Tamandua tetradactyla: one gene and its partners. The protein of the gene in region 1 interacts with the protein of each later gene in a pairwise test. Links are inferred from orthologs where the notes say so. Each region holds a gene or a part of one and is shown in the gene's direction. Other genes may lie near its edges. The genes, in order: ESR1, PNRC2, TRAM1 and MED25.

Region 1 (7,479 bases):
AAATAGGCTTTGATAGTCCCTACCTGTGATGGCTAGGTTCTAGTGTCAACTTGGCCAGGTGATGGTGGTCGGTGGTCTGGTCAGGTAAGTGCTGGCCTAACTATTGCTGCAAGGATATTTCATGGCTGGTTGATAAACTGGAAGGCTGGTGTATTAAATCATCAGTCAGTTGATTGCATCTGTGGTTGATTACATCTGTGATCAACTAAGAGTGTGTCTCCAGCAAATGAGATAACTCAATCAGTTGGTTTTGATCCAATCTTTGAAGACTTTTAAGGAAGAAGAGAGAATTTTTCACTGCTTCTTCAGCCAGCAAGCCTCTCCTGTGGAGTTCATCTAGACCATTCCTCAGAGTTGCCAGCCTCACAGCCTGCCTTATTGATTTGAGGCTCTTCCATTTCCACGGTTGCATGACATACTTTTGTAAATCTTATATTTACAGGTCTGTTTTTCTGGAGAACCCTTACTAATACACTACCCCACTGGGTTGCTGTGAACATACTTAGCACCTGATACCTCATACTCAGTAGAAAATATTATCATTTTTACTTTAATTATTATAATTTTTAATTTTTTCCCACTTGAGAAAGCCCATATTAAAATGCAAATAAATGACAGTAGTCTCTTGAGAGCAATTAATCTAATTAAAATTTTATATTGTACATTTAAATTTTCCTATAAAAGGAAAACGATCTATAACCTTTAGTTCAGAACCCAATGGATGTCCTGTTATGGCAAGTGTTGCCCCATGATTTTCTTCTCTGTATTCATGTCTATAATCGATTTTTGCAGGTTGCTAAATGCCATTTGGAAAACAGAATTCATCCACTCTGAAAAATAAAATAGTTGAGAGATTTAATTCATGTACATAAAAGCATTTTGTTTTTGAAAAGTTTAAACTATCCAAATGTTTATTAAATAACTTACTTTCTACCAGAAATCATAATAAAATAATAAAAGCAAATACCCCCCAATAGTGCATTAGTATACATGACTATTCCTTTTGTTAGCACATCTTGTGGAAAGTTTATGTTTGTTAAATTAAAATTAAAACTTCTTATGTTAGCTAAAATCTTTCTTGCTGTAAGCATGCTGGGGGACATTAATCTCAGGTAAATTTGCATATTCAAATTATTGTGTGGGCTAACTCATAAGTTTAGAGAGGATTGCTTAAAGGTCCTTAAGATCATTTCTTTTTAAATGTTCTTAGGTGTTAGAGTATGTTAAACAGATAATCAGAAAGTATTGGCAAAGTCATTTGAGGGATGGGAGAAAGAATATGGAACTATTAAACCTTACCATTAGGGAATTTCCTGATACTGTGTCAAACTTTAAGGACACCCAAATCAATAGGCCATGCCCTCGATCATGAGGCTTACTCTTGTGAAGTATATGCAGATAGAATAGAAACTTAGACTACCTATAGGCAGGCCTAAGAATTACTTCTGGAGGACCTCTTTTCTTGCTCAGATGTGGCCTTAGTCACTCTAAGCCCAACTCCGCAAGTGAAATCATTGCCTTTTCCCCTACATGGGACATGACATCCAGGGTTGAAAGTCTCCCTGGCGACATGGGAGATGACCCCCAGGGTCATATGAATCCAGACCTGCCACCCTGGAATCAACAATTCCATCCTGACCAAAAGGGAGAAAAGAAGTGTAATTAATAAAGTATCAGTGGCAGGAAGAGTTCAAATAGAGTCAAGAGGCTTCTCTGGAGGTTGCTCTTATGCAAGCTTCAGGTAGACATTGCTACCTATCATAACTTGCCAACCGTCAACCAGGCCCATTCCAGCTAATCCTAAAGAACACCTAGGGCAATATGTAAGATTCCACAAGCATTCCAGGCACTGGAGTAACTTTCCAGAAACCTACAACCTCCAGATGGTTCTCTGGTCCAGATAAGTCCTGACACCTAGCCCAGCTTCTCCAGAACATCAGAACATCTCCCTATCCCATATTAGTGACAGACCCTTCCAACATCAAAAATTTAGAATTGCCATAGCCCAAACACCCCTAAAGAGAGAAATGGAAAGATCAAAGGTGATGGTGGAATTATTCAGAGAAGATAGGATTTAATAAATGAATATGAATGCTGAGTCATTAAATTGATATCTCTTTCAGTCTCCAGTATTTTAGAGCAGCTAGAAGTAGAAACCTGAAATTGTGAAATTGTAATTCATGTCAAAGTCTGAAATATGTTTTACAACTAATTGTGGTGCTGTGCTTTGAAATTTATAGCTTTTTTGTATATATGTTATTTTTCACAAAAAAAGGAAGGAAAAATGTCGATTGTGATGATAAAAAAATTTAAGCCCTCTGGCCTCCTATACTCTGGAGCAGCTAGAAGGAAAAATAGGAGAGGATCGTATTGTAGCCCATAACAAACTCTGGGATCTGTCCTGTAACTATTTGTTGAAGAGGGCTTTGAAAACTATTACTTTTTTCTTTCTTTGCTTTGTATATGTGTTATACTATACAATAAAAAAAAGTTAAAAATTTTAAAAAAAGGCCCTAAAAATGTTCTTAGGTGTTGATTATGAGAGTTTTGTTTTTCTTTTGTAACCAAGCCAGTTTCTTTTAAAAATGCAATTTTTTTGAGTGATATTCACATACCATATAATCAACGTGTATAATCAGTGGTTCACAATATCATCATATAGTACTGCATTCATCAAAAAAATCAATTTTGAACATTTGCATTACTCAAAAAAATACATATAAGAATAAAAATGAAAACAAAACAAAACAAAACACCCCAAACATCCCATACCTCTTATCTCCTCCTATTTTTATATATTTTTGGTCCTTTAATTTTTTGCTCATCTGTCCATGAATGGAGTGTCATCGCAAGGTTTTCACAATCACCCGGTCATACTGTAACAACTTTATAGTTATACAATCATCTTCAAGAATCAAGGCTACTGGAATACAGCTCAACAGTTTGAGGTGTTTATTTTACCTTTTCTAATCCACTAAAAACTAAAAAAGGCTAACTATATAATGCATAAAAATAACCTCCAGAAAGACCTGTTGACTCTATTTGAAGTCTTTCAGCCACTGAAACTTTATTTTATCTCATTTCTCTCTTCCCCTTTTTGGTCAAGAAGGCTTTCTCAATCCCATGATGCTAAGTCCCAGTTCATCTCAGGAGTCCTGTCCCACATTTCCAGGAAAATTTACACCCCTGGGAGTCATGTCCCATATAGAAAGGAGGGCAGTGAATATACTTTGCTGAGTTGGCTTCCAGAGAAAGACTAAGCCAGTTTTGAGACACACCTCACCCAACAGATGGCAAAAGATTTTCTTCCTTCACCTTCTCGTCCTACCATTCTCATGTTCGGAAGACCAAGTCTAATTGATTAGAAAAGCTAATATCTAAAAAGCAAAACTAAACAAAACAAAAACCTTAAAAATATACGCTATATAAATCAGAAGCAGATTTTCCACTTTTTTTTTCCTGCACAGGCAGGCACCGGGAATGGAACCCAGGTCTCTAGCATGGCAGGTGAGAACTCTGCCACTGAACCACCATCGCACCTCACTATTCTTTTTTTTTTTTTAGCCCATTTTCTACTTCAGACAATGTCTCAGTGTAAAAAAGAAAAAACCAAACAAGCAAAAAAACAATCAATCAACACTTAAATTGCTGTAGGAAATGCCTGAAAAGTTTAGGGTAAGATCATCTGACAGAGGGAAGGGCTTCAGAGGCACGGAAAAGCTAAACCTGTACAGGTTAGTGCAGTAAAAAACCTAATTAATCAACGACCAGGAAGGCAGAGCATGTTGAGGTATCCACGGCTAAGCAAGAAAGTTAAAGAAATGCTCACAGAATATGTGTCCTCATTTCCACTTTTAGCTGTAACTAATTTTGGATTAAGCATTTATGTGCTGAATGAATGCTGTATATATATTTTCCAACTAGACACTCCTGTTTAGACTTCAAACCTTATTATAAGTAAAGAGAAAACCGACTGGATTGCATAAAAATTTCAATCGACCAGATTGCATAAAAATTTTACAAGCAGATGAACACATCACTTATCTTTTGTTAAATATCGATCTTAAAGGAAGTGCTGCGAAAGTTCATCAGGCCTAGCTGGCTGAAACCAAGGCCACCCCCTCCTCTATTTTTTTTCAAGGAGATTTTCCAGTCCTAGTCAAATGGTGGTGCTAGTTCTTTATTTTTGAGTTGCTGCATTTCCTAATTTCATGATCATAACGGCCCCCTGTCTACTGCCTCAGAACGGATTTCTCCAAAACTGAAAATGCAGGCTCCAGGCTCAGAAGCTCCCTAACGGCTCCAAAGATTAACACTCCTTCCTCCTGTCCATTCAGTAACACGAGAAGACAGCCTTCTCTTCAAGTAGGTACTCCTCTTTCTTCTCAGTTTAATTTTTTTTTTTTTTGGTTTTTGCTATATATATGCTACTGTTTACAAGCACAGTGTAACTTTAGAGCTTACCTCTCACGTTAAAAGGCGTTCATTTTTCTCTAAATGCTCCAGGGATATTTTTCAAAGCCTTTGCAAAGCAAAACGTCCCTGTAGGCAAGTCTGACTACGGTGTTAAAACGTTAAATCTAAACTTGGTACAGTGGAAATTCACTTTTGGAATAATATTCAGCTGAGTCAGAGGGCAAGGCGAGTCCTCTCTTCAGTTCTGCGCTGATAGGCTGCCTGGCTGCCCCAGATAAAGTATGTTTATTGGACTCCTCTCACTGTAAGGTTCTCTATTGTTAGTGTGTCGGAATCTTACCAGTTCTCGATCTGATCACTGACTAGCGTGAACATACTCCCTGTTTTCTTCATCTTTGGTGCTATAACTCACACGAATTTGAATGCAGCAATCTGAACAAGCCACTATTTGTTTCCTGGAGGCAGTAAAGTTTTCTGAAGAGCTACACAATCTAGCAATACCAGGATGAGCTACCCTCTGTTTCAATGACCCTATGGTTTCAGACAAGTTATTTTGAGTCCTGCTGCCTCAGTTTTCTCTTCTGTGGAAAAGATAGGCTAGTTTTTGTTTTGTAGCAGGGTGGTGCGTGCATTAGTGGCTCCATCGCGAACGATGTGATAGTCAAAAAAGCTGGGACAAAATACTTTCATTTTGATTAGAGGAATGTCCCACGTTTCAGGAAGTATTTGTTAAGTTTTAGGTTTCACGTTTTGTCAGTAAGGTCACCAGATTTTGTTCTGTCAGACGTGCCCATAGAAGCTGACATGATTTTTTTAAAAATACTTAACGCTGGATAAAGGCCTGGGCATTATAGGACTTAGAATTGTGGCACTAATTTCTCTTCAAAGGTCCTAGATTTCTAATAGCTTTATGGGCCAGATTGAATAGACTTACAGAATAGCTCTAAGCAAAAGGTTGCTGGAAACTTCTCCTGTTTTGAATGTATATATGCATTGATGTACACAGATACATATATTAGTATTGAGAGTGAAGTTGTGTTTAAGAGGTGAAGGTATTTGAACTGAATAGAGAACTAAAAGAAATGAAGTTGGTTGGGAACTTCTGAAAATTCGAAGCCCAATTTCCACTCTAGAACATTCTTTTGTACTTCTTTAAACCAAACGTTCACCCCAATTGATAATATTATACGAAGACCATCCATTGGGCCTTAAAATGCATGGATATAAAATCCTAAGAGTTGCTGTATTTTCAAAGACATTGGGAACAATAAAGGATTTGGGTTTTGGAAACAGGCAGATTTAGAGAAGCTAGATTTTGAATATAAAGGTCAGGGTATTTCTTAGTGGGATATATTTCTTAGACACTTGGAGATATTTGTTTTGTTTCATTGCTTATGACAGGTAAGGGAGGTATAAAGCACATAGGTCATAAACCTGAAGCAGAAACAAAGTCAAACAACTTTCTTATTTCATTTAACTCTGCATCTTTCATTTAGTTTAGGATCTGGAGCTTGCTACCTCCTCCAAATCCTCACTCTAAGCCTTTATACAAAATAAATTTACAAAGTAAATTTACTTTGGGTGCCTGCGAAACATTTTTACATGGTTCTTGGTAGATATTTACCTGTATTATTTAACCTAGTTAACCAGTACAATTGCCAGAGCTGAAGGTCTGGGAGATGGAGTGTCAGTTTGCTTTGCATAGAGAAATCTCTACTCTGCGGTTACAGATTGGTTGGCAGGAAAAATAGGCAGGAAAGAGGGTGACCCAGCTCAGAGTAGGTCATCCACACTGTAAAACACTCATAGCACATTCTTTATCAATGGTAGTTGAGACAAGGTCCTGCCATTGGCCTCTCTGTCATTAGTCCCTGAGAGACACCCTTAAGGCAGTAATCTAAGGGTGGCTTTTGATGAAGTTGATGGTGATGATGGTGAGTCTGCCTTCTTGGCAATCTCTCAGTAGCCTACCCTAGGTCATTCCTTCTGGACCACAGCAGCAAAACCTTACACAACAGTGTGTTCTGTGGTTCTTTCTAAGGGATGTAAGTTTTTTATTTATCAAAGTCTGTGACTCAGAGGATGCAGAGGATTGCACTATCCATTCCTTCCCCACTCCCACTCCAAATATTTCTCTAAAAAGCTTATACTTCTGATCAGGTTTTCCACAGAAGATAACTTTTTAGTGAGGATTCCATTCATGAGTGACAACTTAGCTTCAGAGCCCAGCTGAATTGAATCCATGCCATAGGTCCCCAACATTTTTCTAGCTGTGTGATTCTGACACAGAAGTGTTTTTTCAGACAATAAGAGTAGCTACCAGGCATAATTATATGGAATAAATGAGATTAAACTACCTGTGAAATAATTCTTACAGTCTTCGATATGTGGAAGTTGCTTTTATTCCAGTTCTGGTTTAGGATGAGATATACAATAAACATGGGTTGCATGGATGAATGAGTGAAACTCATGGAAGATTTGCATTCATCTGGCAATAATGGGTAGCTGATCTAAAAAAAAAAAAAGAACAGTGAATTCAGATAACTGAGTATTCCATGGGGTTGAAATGCTGCTGCTTTTGTAATGGACATGAAGTGCTGGAACAGAAAGTATGCAAACCTCCAACAACCTTCCCTCCATTCTTCCTCTCCCTGTGATTATAAGGATAGTCATATCCCTTTGGCATGAGAAAAGCAGCAGAACAGCAAAAAGGCAAAGTTTTTGCTATGATGAGCACATTAAAAGCTTATTAGAGATGCTTCATATTCATTTTCATATCAAAGAAAGCATTCTGCTCCATTGTTCCTCAGTTTCTTAGTCAATACCCATATGAGTTGGCTGCTAACTTTGCAACCTAACTTGATGTCAATGACCCACGGCCATCTCTTCTTCATTGTCCCCTTAACATGTAGTCGAGCCCATGAGGAGGTGATAATAGCAATTACATTGGCGTTTAACATGTAGGGAGCTCCTACTTTGTGCTGTGCTTTTTATTGGTATTATCACATCGAAACTTCAAGCATACCCAGGTCATACCCAGGTGGCAAGAAATCTTATTATTCT
Region 2 (7,398 bases), about 59 Mb from region 1:
GCCTTAGGAAGCAAAAGAGCGAAACCAGCTTTTGTTTTGAAATAGACACGCTGGAGAGAAATGAGCCAGTCTGAAAGCTTGTCAGCCCTGGGTGATTGCCCCCAAAAGCCCAGGTACTCATGGGGTCTAAAATACAATAAGCATCAGCATATATATAACTTGTCCATCCTTCAAAGTCAAGTTTCAGAAATACTTTCTTTTTGCCTGCCCCCACCCCCACCCCCACTCCCACTCCTATTTACAGGCTGGGTAGGTAATGTTTACTTAAAAGTTTTGACAGATTTTATTGATCATGGCTCCTCACCCACTGATACTTAATTTAAAACAGATTCTTCCATGGTAAAAAATTTCAGCAAATGTGGGAATCTTCTCTTTCTCCCCTCCATTCTGCAGGGTTCCGTTTCATTATAACTTGTACCTTACTAAGTGGTGGGTGTTGGGGATTCTTAGTATATGGATTTTTATGCCCACAATTGGCATTGCCTGTTTTCAGTCTCAGGGGAACTGAGGGAATGAATCTCCCCATCATACTAGCTTCCTTCTATGATAAATACTAAAGGAAACATTTTTTTAAGTTCCTTTAGGACCCTGATGGAGCCTTGTTTGTGTCCCCAAGGCTTGGGAAAGTGCCTGGCACAAAATAGGCACCACATAACTCTTTGTTAAATACATACTTTATATTAAGTACTCATGTATTTATTATGCATTTATCTCCCCATGTTGGTGGCTGATCAGCATCCTGACAGCTGTTTGTTTGCATCAACATTTTCCTATTTGAACCACGAACCATGAATTGGATCCTGTTAGTGCAACTACCTTTAAAGATTGGCCTGGTTAAAAAGTTGAAAAAGTAATGAGACTTTGACTAGAGATATGGATGAAGCTGATCTGGTTAGGACTAAGGTAAATCAGAATACAGGGTAAAGGGTGATATGGTCCATATTTAAGACTTCAACTTCTGTGCGAGACCAAAGGGAGAGATGTTTATTTGATGCAAAATTTATATTTTGGGTAGTGTATTACCTAATTCAATTTGTATGGACAGTTTACTTGAACACCATAAGTACAGGGAATCTTGAATAGGGTGTGAGATTTTGTCGGTTTGTCCAGGTTAGTGTGATACCCTGATATATCCCAGAGTAATTTGGGCAATGAATAAAAAAGTATTTGCAAAGTCCCCTTGGGGGATTGGGGAGAAAGGATGAAATATTCAACTTTCCCATTTGGAGAATTCCTGATATTCTTGCAAGCAGGGAGGACAACCAATCAATAGACCAAGCCCTCAATCAACAAATGCGGGAATCTTCTCTTTCACCCCTATAAAACTTATTCTTGCAAAGTATAAGCTAAGCCTGCTTATAATTATGCCTAAGAGTCACCCCCAGAGAACCACTTTTGTTGCTCAGATGTGGCCTCTCTCTCTAAGCCACCTTGGCAGGTGAACTCACTGCCCTCCCCCCTATGTGGGACATGACTCCGAGGGGTGTAAATCTCCTTGGCAATGTGGGACAGAATTCCTGGGATGAGCCGGGATTGAAAAAGCCTTCTTGACCAAAAGGGGGAAGAGAGAAATGAGACAAAGTTTCAGAGGCTGAGAGATTTCATACAGAGTTGTGAAGTTGTCCTGGAGGTTATTCTTACACATTATATAGACATCCCTTTTTAGTTAGTAGTGTGTTGGGGTGGCTAGAGGGAAGTACCTGAAACTGTTGCGCTGTGTTCCAGTAGCCTTGATTCTTGAAGATAATTGTATAATGATATAGATTTTATAACGTGTGTGATTATGAAAACCTTGTGTCTGATGCTCCTTTTCTCCAGGGTATGGACAAATGAGTTAAAAAAATATATATATGGATAATAAATAAATAATAGGGGGGTTAAAGGGTAAAATAAATTGGATAGATTGAAATACTAGTGGTCAATGAGAGGGAGGGGTAAGGGGTATGGGATATATGTTTTACTTTTTTTCTGGAGCGAGACAAATGTTCTAAAAATGATCGTGGTGATGAATACACAACTATGTGATAATATTGTGAGCCACTGATTGTACACCATGTATGGACAGTATGTACGTGAGATTTCTCAATTAAAAAAAAAATAAAAAAAAGACCAGCCTGCGACAAGCAGAGGCTCTATCAGATGTTCTGAAGAGGGTTTTACTTGAACTGCTGTTCTCCAGTACTGGGCTATTGGGGGTTCTTGCGAAAGATTAATGAATGATGAGGCTGGTGCTATGCTTAGCAGGTGCTCACAGTCTGGGAGTCAGTAAGGGCTTTGGAAGCGTTCTCCCCAGGGCAGCCTGACTCGGCTCTTTTGGCAGAGAACTTGGTCCAACCCGGCTGCAGGGTGGGGCCCTGATACTGCCCTAGCAGCCCGGGCAACCCCGTCAACGTTCAGTCAGTGCCTGGTCTGGACAAAGCCCGGCTGAGCTACAGGAGAACAAAGATGCTGTAGGGAACATGGAAGCTGGACTCTGGAGTCTTGGGGTGTGGCTCCCAGCTTTAAACTGTCTGAGCATCAGATTCTTTTTCTGAACAGTGGAGATCAAAATAGTACTCACCCCAAATGGTTTTTGTGAGAATTAAATGAGATATAAGCAAAACCATATAGGGCAGGGCTTAGGGCAGAGTAAGTATTCAAAATGTCTGGTTATACAGATAAGATTCAGAGGTCTACTGAAGAAATGAAAGACGAATTTCAGATGGTGATGGCTTTGAATAATTTTCTAAATGTTTGGAGTTTAGACTTTATTCTAGAATACAGAACATTTGAAACAAACTGGAATGAATTTTAAATTGTTAACACATTCAGCTGGATGGAGGGGTAGGGAGAAACCAGAAGGGGTGTGAGTATAGAGGGAGTAAATTTGAAAGACATATTTTGATGTTGATAAAAAAGGAATTAGGAAAAAATGTGCAGACTGAAACAGACTATTTTACAAGGCATTATATTAAAATATATATTCTAAGGGCATTTCCTGAGATCAAAGTCTTGAACCCATTAAACACGCCATTGCTATTATCTGGCTGGATATCTAAATAAGATTCCAGAATTTCTGAGAAATACATTACAGTGAGCTAGCAGCTGATTTGCCATGTACACCTTATTTGACTATAATATAATTAGAGCCAGAAAGTCCCCCTACCCCAAAATAACTGTTCATTTGATTAATGAATTCCTCTTTAAGGTACAGTAACTCTTCTTAAGATCCACAGCTAGAACACGGGGTTTTGTGTTGGGTTGGTGGATAAGAGGTGATAGTAGCAAAAAAATTAAAGATTAAAACACAAATTACGTGGGATTTATAAAAGGTCAGTATATATAAATTATGTAACAAAAAAGTTCACAGATGTATGAACTGCGAGTGTAAAGGTAAGGATTTTGGACCATTTATCCCAGAATTATTCATACAAATAGAAGTTAGGGTCCTCTTTTAAAACAGTTTGGGTTGCTTATACATTTACTCCAAAGAAGTTGTCCTTTCCCCTTCCCTGCACCTCACTGTTACGTTCAGCTGAGTGACATATCTTCTGATCTCTTTTTCAAGTAAAAACGGGACAGAAGGGGAAATAAGGGAGGTCACGTTTTCTCAGCAAACCTTTATAGTGCATTTACAGTGAGCGGGGACACTGTGCTAAAACACACACACACACACACAAAACAAAAAACAAAAACTTGGGTTTGCTCCTCGAAGGGTATATGCAGATGTGTTGGGGGGTCGGGGAGCCAGGTGGATACACACCGTTGCAAGAACAATAAGGTGCGATAAAAAGGTAAGGAACAGTGGGGACACAAAGAAGGGACTGATAACCTTGTGTGCATGAGTCAAACGCCTTCACAGTGGAGGTAACTTGGGGGTAACTGCGAGCAGAGGGAACCGCGTGCTCTGGGACTGGCAAAGAAGCTCCCAGAACCGAGGGAAAGGACGAAGACAAGTGTCCCGAGCAAAGGCCGGACACGCGGACTGGGGCTCGGTCATGGAAAACTTTTTTTGTATGTTTTCCATATATAAAAAAATAGGTTACATGGCTGAGTGCACTTAACTAGGGAACCAACTAACCATCCCTCAGTCACTCCTCATGGGGGTTAGTGGAAAAACAGGCGCGCCGAATGGTCAGGGCGGCGGCGCCCGCGAGGGAAGCAGACGCTGAGGGGCCTCTCCAGGCGCGAGCGCCCACCGAGGGCAAAGCGCGGCCCTTGGGCTGCGCCCGGCGTCCGGACGGCGGCGTCGAGGCCTCAGAAAGGCGCCGCGAGAACCCGGCGGTCGTACCCCGGGCTGCGGGCAAGGCAGCGAGCAGCCGGCGGGAAGGGAAGCGGCAACCGCTACGGTAGGGAGCAGTTATTCCCGACATGCTCCTCTCGGGAAAGATTTCAAACCCTCGGCAACAACCACCTCTCCTCCCTCATTCCAGTCCTGCCCCAGCAACAGGCGGCTGCCCGCTCCTCATTGGCTCAACCCCACACCCTCGAGTCTCGATTGGCCGCGAAGCCTCCCGCCCCTCTCTTGCGCCTGCCTGGGTATCCATTTTGTCGGTAGAGGCAGAAAGGGGTGGTCTGGTCGTCCGACACTGTGGTATTCAGCAGGTAGTTGGTCGGTGCTGTCGGGCTTTGCTCGTTCCTTGCCTCGTCTCTCCCTGGAAGGGGAGTGAGGCTTCATCACCTAATAGGATCCGCTGCTGTCGCAGTCTTGAGCTTGAAGTCGGTGAGTAGTGGTGTCGCCGCGGGTGCGGCCATGTTGGTGCCTGCGCTCCCCATTGTTGGGACAAGGAGGCGAGTAGAGAGACGCTTGGAACCCGGGCGGCCGGGAGGGACGCGGCCCGTGGGTTGGGGCTCGAGAAAGGTGGAGCTACTTGGAAGCCAAGCTCCGCATCGAAAGACCCGAGTTTTCCGGGTTCGACTTGTAAATGCCGCAGTGTCTGGGAATCGTAGTTTATTATAGAGTTATAAAAAATGCCTGGAAGGCTGTCTTAACTCTTGAAAAGAAAGGGACTTCTTATTTGTTGGTTAATTTGGTTTCATGGTATATTAAATGAAAAAATGAAACCTGCAATGTTAAATGGTCCCAGTAGGGAGGTATATTTACGTTTTTGAAGATTGAAAACCGTTTTAGATTGTTTTGCTTTTGAATACTTATTTTAAAAGCAGTGGGAGTCTAGTGTGTTCATAAGCAAAGGAAACACTGATGTAGACATGTTGAAAGAGGTTTTGTGTAAAATTCGGATTTGTGGATAAGCTTGTTTTTCTTAGGGGAGGTAATAAAGGGTATGCATTTATGTTGAGTGTTGAAAGACTGGAGAATTCTGGTGGGCTTTAACATCTTACTCACTTTGGGAAGTTAACATTAAGCCAATTTCTTGGTAGGAGTGTTAAGGCTAACACTTTCCAACTTTGACTTGAACGTTTCCGGTCACAAAATCCTTGTGAGAATCTTAAAAGGCACTTCCCAGGGAAAAAGATACACAAACAGAACTTAACTGCTTGACTTACAGACACTCTTTTAAGAATTCTCCAGGGGGGTCCTAGATCTCGAAGAGAAGAGTTCATGATAGTAGTTACAAAATCAAAGAAAGCCATTTTAGGGGAACATATTTTCTACTTCTAAGGAAATAGGCCATCCTTTACAATTATTTCTGTAATATAAATGACCACTTTTTCCTACTGAATTTAAGTAATCTTTGCTTTTCTAGCTAAGACTTCTCTCAAACTTGTGTGCTGAGGAAACTCAGATGTTGGCCTCAGCTCCTAGGCTGAACTCAGCAGATCGGCCCATGAAAACTTCTGTATTCAAACAAAGGAAAGGATCTGTCAGAAGGCAACACCTGTTATCCTGGGCTTGGCAGCAAGGAAGGGGACTGGTAGTGGAAATCCTGCAATCTGAAAAGCAGACTGAAAGGTACAAAAATTAGAGAATTATATTGGGCAGACATTTTAGCTGAACTCAAATCCTAAACCAATTGCTTTCATTTTAAAATAGAGGGTTATTCGGATTTGTGGATAAGCTTATTTTTCTTAGGGGAGGTAATAAAGGGTATGCATTTAATGAATTCTGAATACCCTCCTTTAACTTGAGTTAAAGCAGCTAATAATTTAGGCCCCCAAGACTTCAGAATTACAAATTGGGGCTATAGCAGCTTTCCCCCCCCCCTTTTTAAAATAAAAATAAAAAACAACTGTGAACTTAATGGAATTTTACTCAGTATTTTGTTTTCCATTAATTTGCAGGTGACAAAGAACCTGAAGATGGGTGGTGGAGAGAGGTATAATATTCCAGTTCCCCAATCTAGAAATGTTAGTAAGAACCAACAACAACATAATAGACAGAAGACCAAGGACCAGAATTCCCAGATGAAGATTGTTCATAAGAAAAAAGAAAGAGGACATAGTTATAACTCATCAGCAGCTGCATGGCAGGCCATGCAAAATGGGGGGAAGAACAAAGTACATTTTCCAAATAATCAGAATTGGAATTCCAGCTTACTTTTTAAATCTCAAACTAGTCAGAACTATGCTGGAGCCAAATTTAGTGAGCCACCATCACCAAGTGTTCTTCCTAAACCACCAAGCCACTGGGTTCCTGTTTCCTTTAATCCTTCTGATAAGGAAATAATGACATTTCAACTTAAAACCTTACTTAAAGTGCAGGTATAAAATACTAATGTTTAAATTTAGGCATCACATTTAAGACTAGTCAGTTGGTCTGAAACATTCATCTATTTTATATTTGTGTAAAACCGCTAATGTAGAAAATATGAATAGATTTTATCTCACTTGTTTTGTGTGTTGTGGGCACTATGAGGTAATGGTACTATCAGTGCAACTTAAAATAATTTGTTGATTGCACTTGACGTTCTTAATTGATAAAGAAGTGAAACCATGTATGTTTAGATTTAGAAAACAACAAAGGAATCTTTTTCGGATGCTTTTTTTGGGAATTATCATACATGGAATAGATTTACTTGTTGAAAGCTAGTCAATCAGATTCCAGACATCTAGCTAAGATCATACAGAGATCAAGAACTAGTGAAATACTTGAAAGTTTAATGTCCTACAAACACCTGAACAAGTACCAACAACTTGATGCACTGCCAAGAGAAAATGTGAATTTTCCTTAATGAGTAGTGAAGTACATTGTAGTAAATTTTACAGTGGTTCATGTGGAAAGGGCACTTGGGGGCTTACTAGAATGAGGTGCACTACGCCCCAATGGCCCTGTTCTCACATACAGTGAATAGGTGTCTGCCAGTAAATGCTCCCAAACCATTTTTCATAGAAACAGTATTTGGTGGTCACTGAGTAGCTTTCAAAATACATTTTCTGTATTCTGTACAAACTTGACAGTGAGTGATCTGGCCTCAAATCATCCTTGTAGAGGTTGGCGCTAAGTGGGGAATTGTATAA
Region 3 (8,019 bases), on another chromosome or scaffold:
AACCAGCACAGCAGAGGAGAGCATGGTAAGAGATCAAGCATTCCTGTATAGACAGACTGTAGTAGGTAACACTGGTACAAGCAGAACTGGGACCTATAGAGGCAGCAAACAAGCCTGGATGGGTGGGCAGAAGCCAAATCATAATGGGATATTTGGTTGTGCTGTCTTTCAATGAAAGAAAAGGGAAACTGCTGAAGAATTTTTAGCCTGTTAGAAAAATCATTCTAGAATGAAAATTCGAAAGTGATTCGTAGTGAAGTGAAACTAGTGATATGACCAGAAAGGAAGGTAATAATAACAGTTAACCATATATAGCCCTAACTAACTATCTGCTAAGCACTTTTCTTGAATTTTCATATAAATACTAAAGTTCATGTTTAAGCAATTACCCCCATTTTATAGATGATATAGGTATGGCTTGCTCCCTCACCTCCTTCAGTTTTCAGGCAAATGCAACTTCACCGCACTTTCCCTATTTCCCTTTCCTGCTTTACTTTTCTCATGGACCCTCATTTTCAATTCAATACATTTCATTTTTTAGATCTTGCTTAAAGATTCTCTTCCCACACTAGAATGAAACCACATAAGAATAGTTTTATTTTTCCTTTTTGTTCAATTCTGTATTCCCCATACCTAGCCATGTAATAGATACTCAATAGATACTTTTTAGTATTAAAATATATGAATGAGAAAATCAAGTCTCATAGAAATTAACTGACTTCTCCATAATCGTACAGGCAGTAAGTGACAGAAATCTGATCCAAAGGCCCATGCTCTCTCCTAAGACTCAGAGTTGGAGTTCTGCAGCTCTGAAAATCAGCATTGCTACATACAACAACTGTTAAAGAAACCAAAAAAGAGATCAGGCTTTAGATATAAGATATAAGAATGAAGCCAATTTTGTTGGGAGGTAAGGTAAATCAGAATACAAAGCAAAAGATATTATTGTCTGTATTTTAGAGTTTTATCTACTATATGAGGCAAAGGAAGAGAGGTTTATTTTTCCAAAATCTAAATTTTCTGTAGCACACAACCTAACCCAACCTGCCTGGACAACTCATTTAAGCAATCCAAACACGTGGAGACCAGAATGGGAATGAGGGCTTGTACTTCTGTACAGCTTAATGTAATACCCAGATACATCCCAGAGTATACTGGGTGGATAATTAAAAAGTATTGGCAAATTTCCTTGAGGGACTAGAGAAAAAATATGGAACTATTAAACTTTCACACTGGAGAAAACCCTGATACTCTCTCAAGTATTAGGGACTCCCAAGTTAATAGGTCAGGCCTTTGATCTTGAGGCTTGCCCTTATGAAACTTATTTCTGTAGCAGATAATTTAAACGTACCTATAATTATGCCTAAGAGTTACTTCCAGAGAACCTCTTTTGTTGCTCAGATGTGGCCTCTCTGTGGTCTCTCTCTCTCTCTCTCTCTCTCTCTCTCAACCCAACTCTACAAGGAAAATCATTACCTCCCCCCGCCACATGGAACATGACATCCAGGAGTGTGAGTCTCCCTGGCAACATGGGACATGACTCCCAGGGATGAGCTTGGCCCTGGCACTGTGGTATCGCAACACCTTCCTGACCAAAAGGGAGAAAAGAAATGTAACAAAATAAGGCATCAGTGGCTAAGAGAGTTCAAGCAATGTCAAACAGTTTTCTGGAAGCTACTCGTAGACAAGCTTCAGTTAAATATTGCTAATTACCATGGTTTGCCAAACCTCAACCGACATCATTCCTGTTAACCCTAATGAACACCTAGGGCTCTATCTGAGAGTCTACAAAGTTTCATGCACTAAGTTCACTTTCCAGAAACTGCAAACTCCAAATGGTTCCTAGGCCAAATAAGTACTGAAACCCAGAAAGGCCAGCCTCTCCAAGAACACCAACTAGTTTCCTGTATTATTGTGCCCATTTGAAAATATTATGTACCTCAGAAAAGTCATGTTTTTTTTAATCTATTAAATTTATTTTAACTTTGTTTCCCCTATTATTTATTTATTTTTAATCCATATGTTTTACTCATCTGTCCATAAGGTAGATAAAAGAAGCATCAGAAACGATGTTTTCACAATCACACAGTCACATTGTGAAAGCTATATCAGTATACAATCATCTTCAAGAACCATGGCTACTGGAACACATTTTCAGGCAGTTCCCTCCAGCCTCTCCATTACACCTTAACTAAAAAGGTGATATCTATATAATGCATGAGAATAACCTCCAGGATAACTTCTCGACTCTGTTTGGAATCTCTCAGCCACAGACACTCCATTTTGTCTCATTTCTCTTTTCCCCCCTTTCAGTTGAGAAGGTTTTCTCAATCCCTTGGTGCTGAGTCTCAGCTCATTATAGGATTTCTGTCCCACATTATCAGGAAGGTCCACACCCCTGGGAGTCATGTCCCATGTAGAGATGTGGAGGGCAGTGAGTTTGCTTGTCATGTTGGCTGAGAGAGAGAGAAGCAACAGAAGAGGTTCTCTTGGGGGTGACTCTTAGGCCTAATTTTAAGTAGGTTTAGCCTATCTTTTGTGGGGTTAAGTTTCATATGAACAAACCCCAAGATTGGAGGCTGAGCCTATTGCTTTGGTTGTCCCCACTGCTTGTGAGAACATTAAGAATTCTCCACTTGGGGAAGTTGAATTTTCCGCCTCTCACCATTCCTCCAAGGGAACTTTGCAATTAAGAAATTTCATGTTTTAATCTTGGTCCAACCTTGTGGGAACAGCCATTTCTCTTAATCCTGATTCAGTACTCTAGGTTGGAAACTTTTGATTAGATGATTTCCACAGAAATGTGACACACCTAATTGTGGGTGTGACCTTTTGATTAGATGGAAATGTGATTCCACCCATTCCAAGTGGGTCTTGATTAGTTAACTGGGATCCTTTAAAAGAGGAAACATTTTGGAGAGAGTCAGAAATGACAGACACCTCAGAGCTAACAGAAACTTCACAGCAGAGCTGACACAGATGCAGACACGTGGAGAACAGAGGCATGGATGTTTGGAGATGCGTGGAACCCAGCAGACATTGCCATGATAGGTTAAGCAACCCTGAATGTGGAGAGAGCCAAAGGAAGTCCAGAGTTGAGGGTCAGCCCTGGAGAAGTAAAATGAGGAACCCCCACAGGAACAGAGGCTGCAGGCAATGGAGCCCAGGAGCACTGGACCAGCAGATGCCCCATCGGCTTTTCTTGAGTGAAGGTAACCTCTTGTTGGTTCCTTAATGTGAACACTCTCACTTTCTTAGAACTGTAAATGTGTTACTTATTAAATGCTTTATAAAAGCTGTTCCAGTTCTGCTGTATTGCATCCCGGCAGCTTGCAAGCTAATGCAATTGTTACCACCTCTTTTCAACGTGAAAAAAAAAAAAACTTAGAATGGCCATAGTTCAAATACCCTAAGCGTGGGATAGAAAGATCAGAGGTGATGGGGGAGTTATACAGAGAAGGTAGGGTTTAACAAATGAGTATGATTGCTGAATCATTAAATTGATATTTCTTTTAGTCTCTGGTGCCTTAGAGCAGCTAGAAATGAAAACCTAAAATTGTGGAATTGTAAACCATACCAAACTCTGAAATCTGTTTTACGACTAACTGTGGTGCTGTGCTTTGATTCATTGCTTTTTTTGTATATATGTTATTTTTCACAAAAAAGAAAAAAAAAGTTAATTGTAATGATAAGAAAATATTTATTCCTTCTAGCCTCTTATATTCTGAAGCAGCTAGAGGGAAAAGTCTGAGAGGATGGTACAGTAGCCCATGACAAACTCTAGGAATTGTCCTGTAACTGCTTGTTGAAAAGTGCTTTGAAAACTATTGCTTTTTTCTTACTTTGCTTTGTATATATGTTATACAATTTAAAACGTTAGAATGGGCAAAGCCCAAATACCCCTAAAGACTGGGAGAAGATTCAAAGAAGGAGGAATTATAACAGAGAATATAGGATTTAACAAAGGAGTATGACTGCTGAATCATTATATTGATTATTTCTTTTTAGTCCCTAGTGTCTTAGAGCAGCTAGAAGGAAAAAACAAATTGTGGAACTGTAACCCGTATCAAACTCTGAAATCTATTTTATAAATACTTGTCAAATTATACTTTGAAATTTATTGTTTTGTATATATATTTCACAATAAAAATGCTTAAAAATGTAAAAAATAAAATAACCCCCCATGCTTTTAAACCACTGATTTCACCAGAGTTGTAATACTGTAGGCAAGAGATGACTCCCCCGAGGGGATGGAATTGCCTGGGTTTGGTGATAGTTGGATGTGGAAGGATGCTGAAGGAAATCAATCTTGGATGACTCTGGTTTCCGCATTTGACAAAAGAGATAAAAGGCAGTATAATTCATGAGAAAAAAGAATAGAGTACTGGTTTATACACAGAGATGAAAGAGGAAGACGTCTAATTCAGTCCTTTTTTCCCATCGCCCTTGATGACTGAAGTGTTTTTAATAACAAGTACCAAGCAAGCTGAACCACCCTGGTCCTTCAGACCGTGCCCCGGCGGTGGGGTGGCAGTACGTACATGGGTGGGTAGGCTGGACCCGAATAGTAACTAGTTTTATTCTGTCTTTTTAACGCCAGACCAAGCCTAAGGACAAGTTCCCAAGAGCGTTTAAAATATTTCTGAGGTTAAAGCAGATGTTAAAACCGAAGAATGAGCCGTGCCGACGTGTAATCAGGCCACGGTCGTATTTTTAGATTATCTCAACGGTGGCAGTGGTTTTCAAAAAGTGACAGTCAACAGGAAAGAAGACTGACACCCAATCCAGCGTGGCGGGGAAGGCAGGCTTAGGGCCCCGCGCACCACCGCGAGAGGCCGCCCCCGCCCCCGGCGCGGGAGGCTCGCGCCACAAACGACTCCCAACCCCCGGCGAGCGCCGGGCAGGGGGGTCGCGGCTGGATTTCCTTCACTCCCTCAGGCGGCCTCCCGCGCCCAGGTGGCGCTGTGGGCTCGCAGCGGCAGCGGTAGCACGAGCAAGCCCTGTCGCCCTGGTGCGCATGCTCTCTCTCGCTGCGGGCTCGCCTCTTTTTTTTTTTCCGGGCGGCCCCGGCGGCTGCGTACTGGTTGTGGGATGGGAAGTGGAGCCCCAGTGAGCGGCTGCGGCGGGGCTGTGAGGAGCAGCCAGGGGGCGGCGGGGGCGGCGGCTAGGCAGTGAGGAGCTGGGTCGAGCGGAGCTGGGGCGGAGCACCTGCGGCACGGCCGGCGGCCCCACCATGGCGATTCGTAAGAAGAGCACCAAGAGCCCCCCGGTCCTGAGCCACGAATTCATCCTGCAGAATCACGCGGACATCGTCTCCTGTGTGGCGATGGTCTTCCTGCTGGGGCTGATGTTCGAGGTGAGCCCGCCACGAACCCAACCGCCCTCCCCGGGTCCCCGACCGGTCCGTTCCCGGACCGCGGGGGACGCGGGCCGGGGGTCGGCGTTGGTCCGGTCTTGCCCTGAAGTGCTGCCCTGCCCAGCCTTCGCGGCCGGGCTGGGGATGCTAACCCTCCGCCGGCCTGGGCGCCCCGGCTGGGTGGGTTGGGGGCCGCCGCGTCGCCCCCTCAGCCGACCCGCAGCCCTCCCTGCCGCCCGCGCCGCGCAGTTCCTGGTTCCCGCGAAGGACTACGTGGCAGCCAGCGAGGGGCCGGCGGACGGGCGGGGGCGGCCCCTGGGCGGTGGAGCTGGCTCTGCGCGGGTGGGCGGTGTGGAGGGGGCGACCGAGCACCGCTAGGGTGTGCGTGGGGCCGGCGAGGGGAGGGGAGAGTGAAGGCCAGGCCTCCGGGGACCGGAGGGCGCCGGCCCCGAGGCCACAGGCCCTGGGGACGTCGGGGGCCCCTGTAGGACCGAGATGGGGGCTAACGAGCAACAGACTGAGCCGCGCGCCTTCACCGATTTGAAGGGCGGTGGCGCATAGCACGGAAGGATGGCCACAGGTTTGGCACACTAAGGGCACACCCGATTGTTTTAATGCTGGTCGCTCAAACTGGTTTTATTGCCGATCAGGCGTTTCATCAGTTATCCAACCCTTTACCCTGGCACTTGCTTTTTCTTTACAGATTTAAGGTCTGAGCCATAAATCAAAGTTCTGAACAACAGTGCCAGGAGTCACATAATTTCCTTTCTGTTATTCAAGTTTGAGAGGGTGGAAATGTCAGGAGTGTGTAAATTCTCTTCCCACATATCTAGTATTTGGATAACTTTCGTAACAGCTGTTGAATATGGGAAATAAACTTTGCAAAGTGAATGTGTACATCCTAGGGATTTTTTTCCCGTCTCCCCTATACACGTGCCCATTTCTATCGTCCTAGCGCCTATCCCTCATTAAAATACTATTTAACTTCTTCCTTGTTTATCCTTTCTCAGAATAGGTTGTTTTTTTCCATTAGTCTCTGTTCGGAGCCTGAGTAGTGTCTGGGACATAGTAGATGCTTAAAATATATTTGTGGAATGAGTGAAGAATTGAAGAAAACGAATGGAATGAGACTCCAGTAACAGAAAGTAAATTTTTCGAATGAAGCCTATTTTTTTAGTGTTAATTATTAAATAATTAAATATTTTAATTTGTGGTTGCTTCTTTTCAAAGGGCTTCTCTGGATCTAGATATTTTTATTCCTGATAACTCTCCTGTATGTGTGAAACCACTGATAAGGAGGTAGCAGGTATAATGGAAGGAAAGGCAGAAGGGAGCAAACATATGTTACATGCACCTCATCTTCATTCTAGGCTGGACCTGTGCCACTTACTTACTGAGTGATCCAAGTCTGCACTTCAGTTTTTCTGCTCTACAAAGGAGGATAACATCACCTGTGCTATTCTCACATGCAGTGTTATGTTCATTGCATAGACCATATAATAGGATGTGTGAAAGCATCTGACACTTCATAAAATACTGTATGAAGGATGGCATTATTAAAAATGCAACACTGAACATTTGTATTAACCTTCTGAGCCCAAATTTGACATTTATATACACTTTCTGCTTTGGTATTCAAAGTAATACTTCTGTACATGCACTTGTATTCAACAAGTTTGTGTAATTTGTCATTACCCATCCCCACATGGTAAGAATTCCTGACTTTAAAAACATAATTTAGAAGTGTGAAATTTATTTGCAATGTTTCAAATGATTGGAATATAAATCAGAAATGACAGAAATGGCATAGCTTTACTTTTATGTAAAGTATTTCACATTCTTTTATCACATTTCTAGGGATTTTCACTGCCTATACCATATGTCCCATCTTAATGATTTTTTTTTAACAGTGAGTGGAGTTTCATCTTAATGTAAGTCTGTTGACTTAAATTTTGTAAATCTAAATTGACAAGACAGATGATATTAGTGGTGAAAGTCAGTTGAAAAAAGGCACATTAAAGTGGCATATGGAAGAGGAAAGTTTGTGCAAGTTGTACATTTTTCCTACCATTTGTTAAAGTTTTAGAATTTAAAAGCATATTTTCTACATATGGAAAAAAGTTAACTAGATTAGTTTAGCTGTTTTAACTTCTGGAATATTTGCTGCTGAATTTCAAAGTTAATATAATTATAGAGTTACAGTATTTATCTAGAATAATGCAGAAATTGTTATTTCTCAGTAGAATTGTTAAGCCTTTCGTATAAAGATGTTGAAATGTCAGAGGGTTTATAGTGAAATTGACAAAGCAGTAACATACTATATTACTAGTCAATAGGAAGCAGCAATATGTGTGTAGTATAAAATCCTGACCTCTGAAGCTAAAAGGGACCTCTGCAACTTGCTGATGGGGTGACCCACGGCATATTACTGAACTTCTCATAACCTAAGTTTTGTTATCTGTAAAATGGGGCTTATTGAGTTACTCTGAAAATGAAATTTACTAATAAATAAAGTGCCTAGTTCAGTGTTAGACTTAATAAGCAGTAGCTATCATTATTCCTTGGAAATTTACCAAAGTTGGGAAATAGAAGACAGCATTTTGTGTGAGAGAAGAGCCCAACAGTTAGCATCTAATGAGATTATATTATTATTATTGAAAAGG
Region 4 (7,911 bases), on another chromosome or scaffold:
CTTCGTGAAAGACAAAAAGAACGAGAGGCGCAACAGGGGTGGTTTGAATCTTGGTTTACTAAGTCCCCCTGGTTGACAACGCTATTATCTGCTCTTGCTGGGCCTTTAATTGTGTTACTTTTAATAATAACTATAGGACCATATATTCTAAATAGAATTATACAGTTTTTACAAAGGCAGATTGGAAATGTCAAATTAATGCTCATCAGACAAGAGTACTCAGTATTAAATAACCCAGAAAATCTCTAAGATTAGAGATATGTACAAAAAGGAGTGGGGAATGTAAAGAAGGATTTTATAAAGCTTAACAGTAGCTAATTTTTCTTGCTTAATTTAGCTATTTACATATATTTTAGCTTCTGAATGGTAGAAATATCCAGCAAAAGCATTTGTGTCATTTTATATTCACTGCTATGCATTTGGTGTGAGTTAAGAATTGTAAAGAAAAGAGTTATGGGCCCCATCAGGTTAAGAAAAACAACCCGGAACTTCCCAGGGGCGGTTATCTGCTGCCTTGGTTATGCAAGGTTATCTGCTGCCTTGGTTATGCAAGGTTGTAACTGCCGGAGGAAGTTTATCTAAGAATGCAACTGAGAAGGTTGAGTAAGGGAGTTTTGCACAACGAGACAGCTGCTTCTTGCATGAAGCAGCTCCCATGACTCATGCGTGAAAAATGTTTGTTATCTGCTTCTTGCAAAATGTTTGTTATCTGCTTCTTGCAAAATGTCTGTTATCTGCTTCTTGCATGAAGCAGCACCTGTGACCCATGCTCGACCCTCACCCCCCTCCTCCTACCCCTTAAAAGCTTCCCCAAATCCAGGCTCGGGGCTCTCTGTTCCTGCATGTTCAGTGAGCCCCACGCATGTGTGGTAAATAAACCCCTTGCGTGTTGCATGAGAGAACGTCTCTTGGAGTCCTTTGCGTGGCAAAACTCTCGAATTCTTACAATACGCCTTAAAGTCAGGTAGTGTGAGACCTCCAACTTCATTTTTCTTTCTCAGGATACTTTTAGCTATTTGGGGCACCCAGCCCTTCCACATAAATTTGGTTATTGGTTTTCCTATTTCTGAAAAGTAAGTTTTTGGGATTTTAATTGGTATTGCATTGAATCTGTAAATCAATTTAGGTAGAGTTGACATCTTAACCAAATTTAGTCTTCCAATCCATGAACACAGTATGCACTTCCATCTATTTAGGTCTTCTGTGATTTCTTTTAACAATGTCTTGTAGTTTTCTTTGTATAGGTCTTCTGTCTCTTTAGTTAATTTTATTCCTAAATATTTCATTCTTTTGGTTGCAATTGTAGATGGAATTCATTTCTTGAGTTCCCCCTCAGATTGTTCATTACTAGTGTATAGAAACACTACAGATTTTTGAGTGTTGATCTTGTAACCTGCCCCTTTGCTGTACTCATTTATTAGCTCTAGTAGTTTTGCTGTGGATTTTTGGGGGTTTTTGACATATAGTATCATATCATCTGCAAACAGTGAGAGTTTTACTTTATCCTTTCCAGTTTTGATGCCTTGTATTTCTTTTTCTTGTGTAATTTCTCTGGCTAGAACTTCCAACACAACGTTGAATACAATGGTGATAGTGGACATCCTTGTCTTGTTCCTGATCTTAGGGGAAAGTTTTCCATTTTTCCCCATTGAGGATGATGTTAGCTGTGGGTTTTTCATATATTCCCTTTATCATGTTGAAGTTCCCTTCTAATTCTATCCTTTGAAGCGTTTTCAACAGGAAAGGATGTTGAAGTTTGTCAAATGCCTTTTCTGCATCAATCGAGATGATCATGTGGTTTTTCTGTTTTGATTTGTTGATATGGTGTATTACATTAACCGATTTTCTTATGCTGAACCATCCTTGCATACCTGGGATGAATCCTACTTGGTCATGGTGTACAGTTCTTTTAATATGCTGCCGGATTTGATTTGCAAGAATTTTGTTGAGGATTTTTTGCATCTATATTCATAAGATTGGTCTGTAGTTTTCTTTTTTTGTAATATCTTTGTCTGGCTTTGTTATGAGGGTGATGTTGGCTTGGTAGAATGAGTTAGGTAGCTTTCCCTCCTCTTCAATTTTTTTGAAGAGGTTGAGCAGAATTGGTACTAATTCTTTTTTGAATGTTTGGTAGAATTCACATGTGAAGCCAACTGATCCTGGACTTTTCTTTTGGGGGAGCTTCTTAATGACTGATTCAATTTCTTTGTGATCGGTTTGTTGAGCTTGTCTATTCTCAAGCCAATGTTGGTTGTTCATGTCTTTCTAGGAAGTTGTCCATTTCATCTACATTGTTGAGTTTATTAGCATAAAGTTGTTCATTGTATCCTCTCATTACTTCCTTTATTTCTACAGGGTCAGTGGTTATGTCTCCTCTTCCATTTCTGATTTTATTTATTTGCATCTTCTCTCTTCTTTTTGTCAACCTCTCTAAGGGTCTACCAATCTTATTGATTTTCTCACAGAACCAACTTCACCTATTCTTGATATTTCCTTTGTGCTCGTTGATTTTTGTGATTGGGTCTAGTGTAGGCTGCTTCCAAAATGTCTCTCTACATATTCACTCTCTTGTGTTATTCTCTCCCTTTGGCATGCAAGGGGACCTATGACTTGCTTCTAACCGAGTATTGCAAAGGTAAGGAGAGTCTATAAAGACCATGGCTTATGTCTTGCTTCCACTTTCTCTCTTCCTGACATTTTCTTTTGCCCTTTTGCTTGCTTTGATAAAGCAAGTTGCTCTGTTATGGATTTTGCAATGAAAGGTTTGCATGGTGAAGAACTGAGGGTAACCCCTGTCCAACAGCCCTTGAAGAACTGAATCCTGCCAATAGTTACGTGAGTGAGCATGGAAGCAGATCCTTCCCTGGTTCAACCTTGAGATGACTGCAGCACCAGCTGACACTTTTATTCCAGCCTGTAAGATACCTGGAAGCAGAGCACCCAGGTAAACTGTGTAGGGATTCCTGACCAAGGGAAACTGTGAGATAGTAAATGAGGTTTGAAATCACAATGTTTGGACATAGTTTGTTACATGGCATGCGATAAGTTAGTGCCCTTTATTTCTTTCACTATTTGGAACTTTATGGTATGTTATGAACTGGGCCATCCCAGCATGTGGGGCCCTTGGGGTCTACATCTACTGAGTGTGGCTTCTGTGGACTCTTGCTTATATTTCTCACCTCTGGCTGGGGATCTTTGTGAACTTGTTACTTGATCGTGATCTGAGTCCTCTGTGTAGGATTTACTCCTGTTTCTGTGAGTCATCAGGAATGCATCCCACATGGAGCTGCTGTAGCGGCCTGCCCTGGAAGGTCCTGGTTTAACTAGACAACCAGACTCAGTTGTCGGATTCAAACTGTCCTCAGTTCCTGGAGACATCGGTGCAGGCAGTTTTGCCCAAAAAACCAACACACAACACCCCTGCCTTTTTGTTTATTAATTTCTAGTTCTCTCTCTCCCTCCCTCTCCCTCCCTCCCTCCCTTCTTTGGGGAGAGGATCCTGGAAGAATACTCCTTCCTCTTATGAAACGACCAATATCTTAAAAACAGTTTCGTCCGCCTAGTCCATCATAATTCCAGAAGTCTAGTCTAAAATACTTAATCATTAATTTTACCATTCTTAATACACATATAGAAAGGCTTAAAACTCAATTATGTCAACCAATCAAGCATTTAACCTATCTAAAGAAAAGTTGCCTTATGAAGTTAACAGGGCAGATTTTAATTTCAGGTAACATTTAAATACTTGTCTTACCTGTTGATCATTTTTCCTTTCTCAATGTTACTTTTATTTCCTTTTAAAAACTTGCTAGAAATTCAATCATGCTAGCATAAAAAAGGAGTGGACTGTCCTAGATGAAAAGAAACATAGGAGTCATAATGTCTAAATAATATGTGAGTCGCCGTTGTTCGGAGACTGACTCAAATAAAACAATTGTAAAAAGACATTTTGAGAGAATAGGGGATATTTGATTATGGTGCTAGATGATACTGAGAAACAGCTGTTAATTTAGTCAAGAGTGTAATTGGAAAGTGGTTATGCAAAAAAAAAAATCCATACATGTTTAGAAATGCCTGCAACCACATAGAGGTAAAATGATAGGGTTTCAGGGATTTGCTTTACGAAGTTTCAGCAAAGACAAAATGGATGGATCAAGTAAATGTGGCAAAATGCTGATTCTTCTGCTGTTTTCAAAGGGAATGCAGTTTTTTGGCAGAAACATATATCGCCAAAATGCATTGGAGCAAGTCGTCCCGTTTACATTCCCACAGACAGTCTGTGAAATTGTTCCTTTTACCCAAATTCTGCCACCTCAATGAACATCCATATCCTTTCTGATATTAATTACCACCACAAAAGCAAAACGCTATCTCACCGGGCTTTCTGTCAGCACTTTTTAATCGATGAAGACAGGCAGCTGTCATATTTTTATTGGCCATTTTTAATTTCTCTTTGTGTAAAGGCTGCTCAGGCTCTTTCCCATTTAAAAAAAAATTTAAAATTAAAAAAGACTATGTCCATTTTTCTACTTTTTTATCCATTCGTAAGATTCATTTGTGTAGTAAATTTTGATTCTCAGGTATGTTGCAAAGACGTTTCCTGTATATCTTCCAAACATGGCATTGTTTCGGTGGGCAAAAATATGCCAGTATTTTAAGTTTTCTGTCTTCGGGATGATGCTAAGAAAATCTTGGCCGGTTTTCAGAATGATACAGCGCGTTTCTTTTTCCTTCGGATATTTTTATGGTTTCGTTGTTTACATTTTTAATCCACCTGGAACGTATTTGTTTTGGGGCCAGTTTCCGGCTCCCTTCCCAGCAAACAACTAGCAAGTGTTGCCTAGCAACTTCCACCGGGTTAGGAGCTCGGCTTCTTTTCGGGGAAAACAGCCTCGCTGGCTTCCAAGTTGTTTGCAGCCTTAAAGCGTTGCCGAGCGACGCCCATTTCGGACGCTCTGATTGGACCATTCACCCATCCTGCACCCGCTGGAGAGAATGTAACTAGAAACTTAAATCTCCCTGTTGAACACAAGGGCAGCGTACGCGTCGCATAGCAACTAGGTCTCCTCACCAGCCCAGGGAGACCAGAGTCGGAAACAGCGGTGCCCCGCTCAAAGATGGCGGCCGACGGAGCCGCTGTCGCTGTGTTTTGTTCTGGATGATCCAGTCCCCTATTCGCTCTCCCGCACCAGGCTCCCGAGATGGCTCACTCTGTCCCGTCTGGGTCTCTCATCGGGTGGTTGTGAACGAGGACGGGGATGGAACCGACCGCCCTGCCTGCCCTGTACAAGCATGGCCGCCGGCGTATCCCCAGCGGCTCGAAGCCGCCCTGCGCGGATGCGCGCGCAGTTCAGCGCACTTCCGGTCATCCCGCTGTGGCGGCGGTGGCTGTGGTGGCTGCGGCGCGGGCTATGGTCCCCGGGTCGGAGGGCCCGGCCCGCGCCGGGGGCCTCGTGGCCGACGTCGTGTTTGTGATCGAGGGTACGGCTAACCTGGGTCCCTACTTCGAGGGGCTCCGTAAGCACTATCTGCTCCCGGCCATCGAGTGAGTGCCGTTTCCGCGACTCCAAACCCGCCCTCCTGCTTTAGTTTTAAATGGCCTTTTGGCTAACCTCGACTTTTGACCTTTGGCCCTGATAGGTATTTTAATGGTGGTCCTCCTGCTGAGACGGACTTCGGGGGAGACGTGAGTCTCGGGACTGTTTGAGTGTGAGGGAAGAGGGGGCTGGGGGCCCAGACTCCCAGGTCTGAGGGAGGAGGTTCTGGGGGTCGGGACTCTGGAGTCTGACGGAGGAGGAGACTGGGGGCCCGGATACCTGGGGCTGAGGGAGGAGTGGGGTGGAGGCCGGGACTCCGGGGTCTGAGGGAGGAGGCGGCCGGTAACCCAACTTTTCTGAAGGATCAGGGTGCTGGGAACTCAAGTTCAGATTCCTCTGTCCTTTTCTCCCAGTATGGGGGGACCCAGTACAGCCTCGTCGTGTTCAACACGGTGGACTGCGCTCCCGAGTCCTACGTGCAATGCCATGCTCCCACCAGCAGCGCCTACGAGTTTGTCACCTGGCTCGATAGCATTAAGTGAGCTTCTTCCCTGCTGGGGTGGGTTGGGGTTCCCATGAGGGGCCATGAACTGGCCGTGGCTTGGAATTGAGCTTCAGGAACCATTCATTCCCATTGGCTAGTTGAAAGGACTCAGCGAGGAAAGATCGCGTGTTGGTCCCATAAGGCACCTCTGTGGCGGGTTTTGTGAGATCGTCACTGCTTTGGATGGAGACAGGTTTTGCAGCCAGAGAGTCCTGGTTGAGCTCCAGATTCCACTTCATGTCCTTCTGTGCCTCCCCTCCTGTTTTTCTCTTCTGGTTCCTGTCTCCTCCAACCCTCCTTGTTCAGATAGGCACATTGAAACTTTAGTACAGAAAGCTCACACCTGTGGCATCATAGATCCCCCTGGGTTTAAGTCAGAGTGTACTAGTTCATTGGAGTTTGGCACCTGGGGTCCACCACCTAACACTCAGACCCAGGAATCCCTGCTCCTCTGGACCTTGTACAGTTCATCTCTAAAAAGAGATATCAGGATATTACTAGACTCTGTTTTACTTACTTATTGTATTACTTACCTACCACCATGTTCAAAATCACCCTAAAACTTAATGATTTAAAACAACAAGTGTTTATGGTTCGGTGGTAGAATGCTCGCCTTCCATGCGGGAGACCCAGGTTCGATTCCTGGACCATGTACCCCCCAAAAAAGAGAAAACAGAAGTGACTTAGCTGGGTGCTTCTGGCTGGGGGTCTGCTTGAGACTGTGGTCAGGATGTCAAATGGGCCTGGAGGATCTGCTCCCAAGCTGGCACACTCTGTGGCTATTGGCAGGAGGCCACAGGTCCTTCCCACAAGGCCTCTGCCTGGGGCTGCTGGCATGGCCTCCTAACATGCCAGCTGGCTTCCCCCAGCTCTGAGCAATCCAGCAGAGAGAGCAAGGAGGAAGCTACAAGGCTTGTTAGGCTTAAGCCCCAAAAGTCACACCCATCACTACTGCCACATTCTCTTTGGTGCACAAGTTAGTCCTGTCCAGCGTGGGAGGGGACTGCAGTAGGGCATGAGCTCCCAGGGGTGGGGACCATTGGAGGCCACCTTGGGGCTAGCCACCACGACATCACAGGGGCACTTTGAGAATTTTAAATGAGTTGAGAACTGCTTTGCAAACAGTGTTTGGCCCACGTGAAGTGCTATGTTTGTGTGTGCTAATATTTTGTGCCTGAGTTTCCTGGTTTATAAGTGAATCTTAGTGCTTTTATGACTGGGGTCATGGTATTCCATTTCTTAGTGCTGTTGACAGGAGCTCAGGGGCTAATCTTTGCTCTGGGCTTAGCTCAAGTTCTGATCTGGTCTGGTATTAAATGGCTATTTAATGGGCTATTAAATGGCCCCTGTTTTAGCTGCTGTTTCTTTTTTTTTTTTGCATGGACAGGCACCGGGAATCGAACCCGGGTCCTCTGGCATCACAGGCAAGCATTCCTGCCTGCTCAGCCACCGTGGCCCAGCTGCTGTTTCTTGTTAGCGTTGTTCAGCCTTGTTTGTTGAGTGTCTGCTTTGTTTCAGGCTGTGTGTGCAGGTGTCGAGCCTGCAGTGAAAAGTAGACTCCTAAGCCTCCCTGTTGTGGTTATTAGAATTAGTCGTAAGTATAGAATGAGGTTTCTTAACCTCAGCATTTGTGATGCTTTGAGCCAGAGTGGTCTTTACTGTGGGGGGTGTGGGGAAGGGGCGTGCATACTGTGCACTGTAGTGAGTTTGACAGCATCCCTGGTCTCTCACCTACTGGTTACTGGTAGTGTAGCTGCCCAGCCCCACCCCCTGGGATGTGACAACCAAAAATATTCCCAGACTTTGCTAAAGGTCCACTGTGGGGGACAA

What was found.
Region 2: the proteins of ESR1 (region 1) and PNRC2 interact in a two-hybrid assay, tested with the Homo sapiens proteins (2 studies listed by BioGRID and IntAct). The link is inferred for Tamandua tetradactyla from reciprocal best matches to the Homo sapiens genes ESR1 and PNRC2.
Region 3: the proteins of ESR1 (region 1) and TRAM1 interact in a two-hybrid assay, tested with the Homo sapiens proteins (2 studies listed by BioGRID). The link is inferred for Tamandua tetradactyla from reciprocal best matches to the Homo sapiens genes ESR1 and TRAM1.
Region 4: the proteins of ESR1 (region 1) and MED25 interact in a two-hybrid assay, tested with the Homo sapiens proteins (2 studies listed by BioGRID). The link is inferred for Tamandua tetradactyla from reciprocal best matches to the Homo sapiens genes ESR1 and MED25.

The regions. Positions count from the first base shown.
Region 1 is NC_135328.1:143,353,943-143,361,421, forward strand, and holds the start of ESR1 (estrogen receptor), read left to right. Parts: upstream 1-4,219; 5' UTR 4,220-4,365; intron 4,366-7,479.
Region 2 is NC_135328.1:202,314,035-202,321,432, reverse strand, and holds the start of PNRC2 (proline-rich nuclear receptor coactivator 2), read left to right. Parts: upstream 1-4,386; 5' UTR 4,387-4,702; intron 4,703-5,687; 5' UTR 5,688-5,893; intron 5,894-6,222; 5' UTR 6,223-6,240; coding exon 6,241-6,648; 3' UTR 6,649-7,398. UniProt on the Homo sapiens protein: Involved in nonsense-mediated mRNA decay (NMD) by acting as a bridge between the mRNA decapping complex and the NMD machinery. May act by targeting the NMD machinery to the P-body and recruiting the decapping machinery to aberrant mRNAs.
Region 3 is NC_135332.1:114,504,223-114,512,241, reverse strand, and holds the start of TRAM1 (translocating chain-associated membrane protein 1), read left to right. Parts: upstream 1-4,968; 5' UTR 4,969-5,233; coding exon 5,234-5,356; intron 5,357-8,019. UniProt on the Homo sapiens protein: Involved in the translocation of nascent protein chains into or through the endoplasmic reticulum (ER) membrane by facilitating the proper chain positioning at the SEC61 channel.
Region 4 is NC_135342.1:11,337,505-11,345,415, reverse strand, and holds the start of MED25 (mediator of RNA polymerase II transcription subunit 25), read left to right. Parts: upstream 1-4,871; 5' UTR 4,872-5,258; coding exon 5,259-5,545; intron 5,546-5,640; coding exon 5,641-5,686; intron 5,687-5,950; coding exon 5,951-6,075; intron 6,076-7,911. UniProt on the Homo sapiens protein: Component of the Mediator complex, a coactivator involved in the regulated transcription of nearly all RNA polymerase II-dependent genes.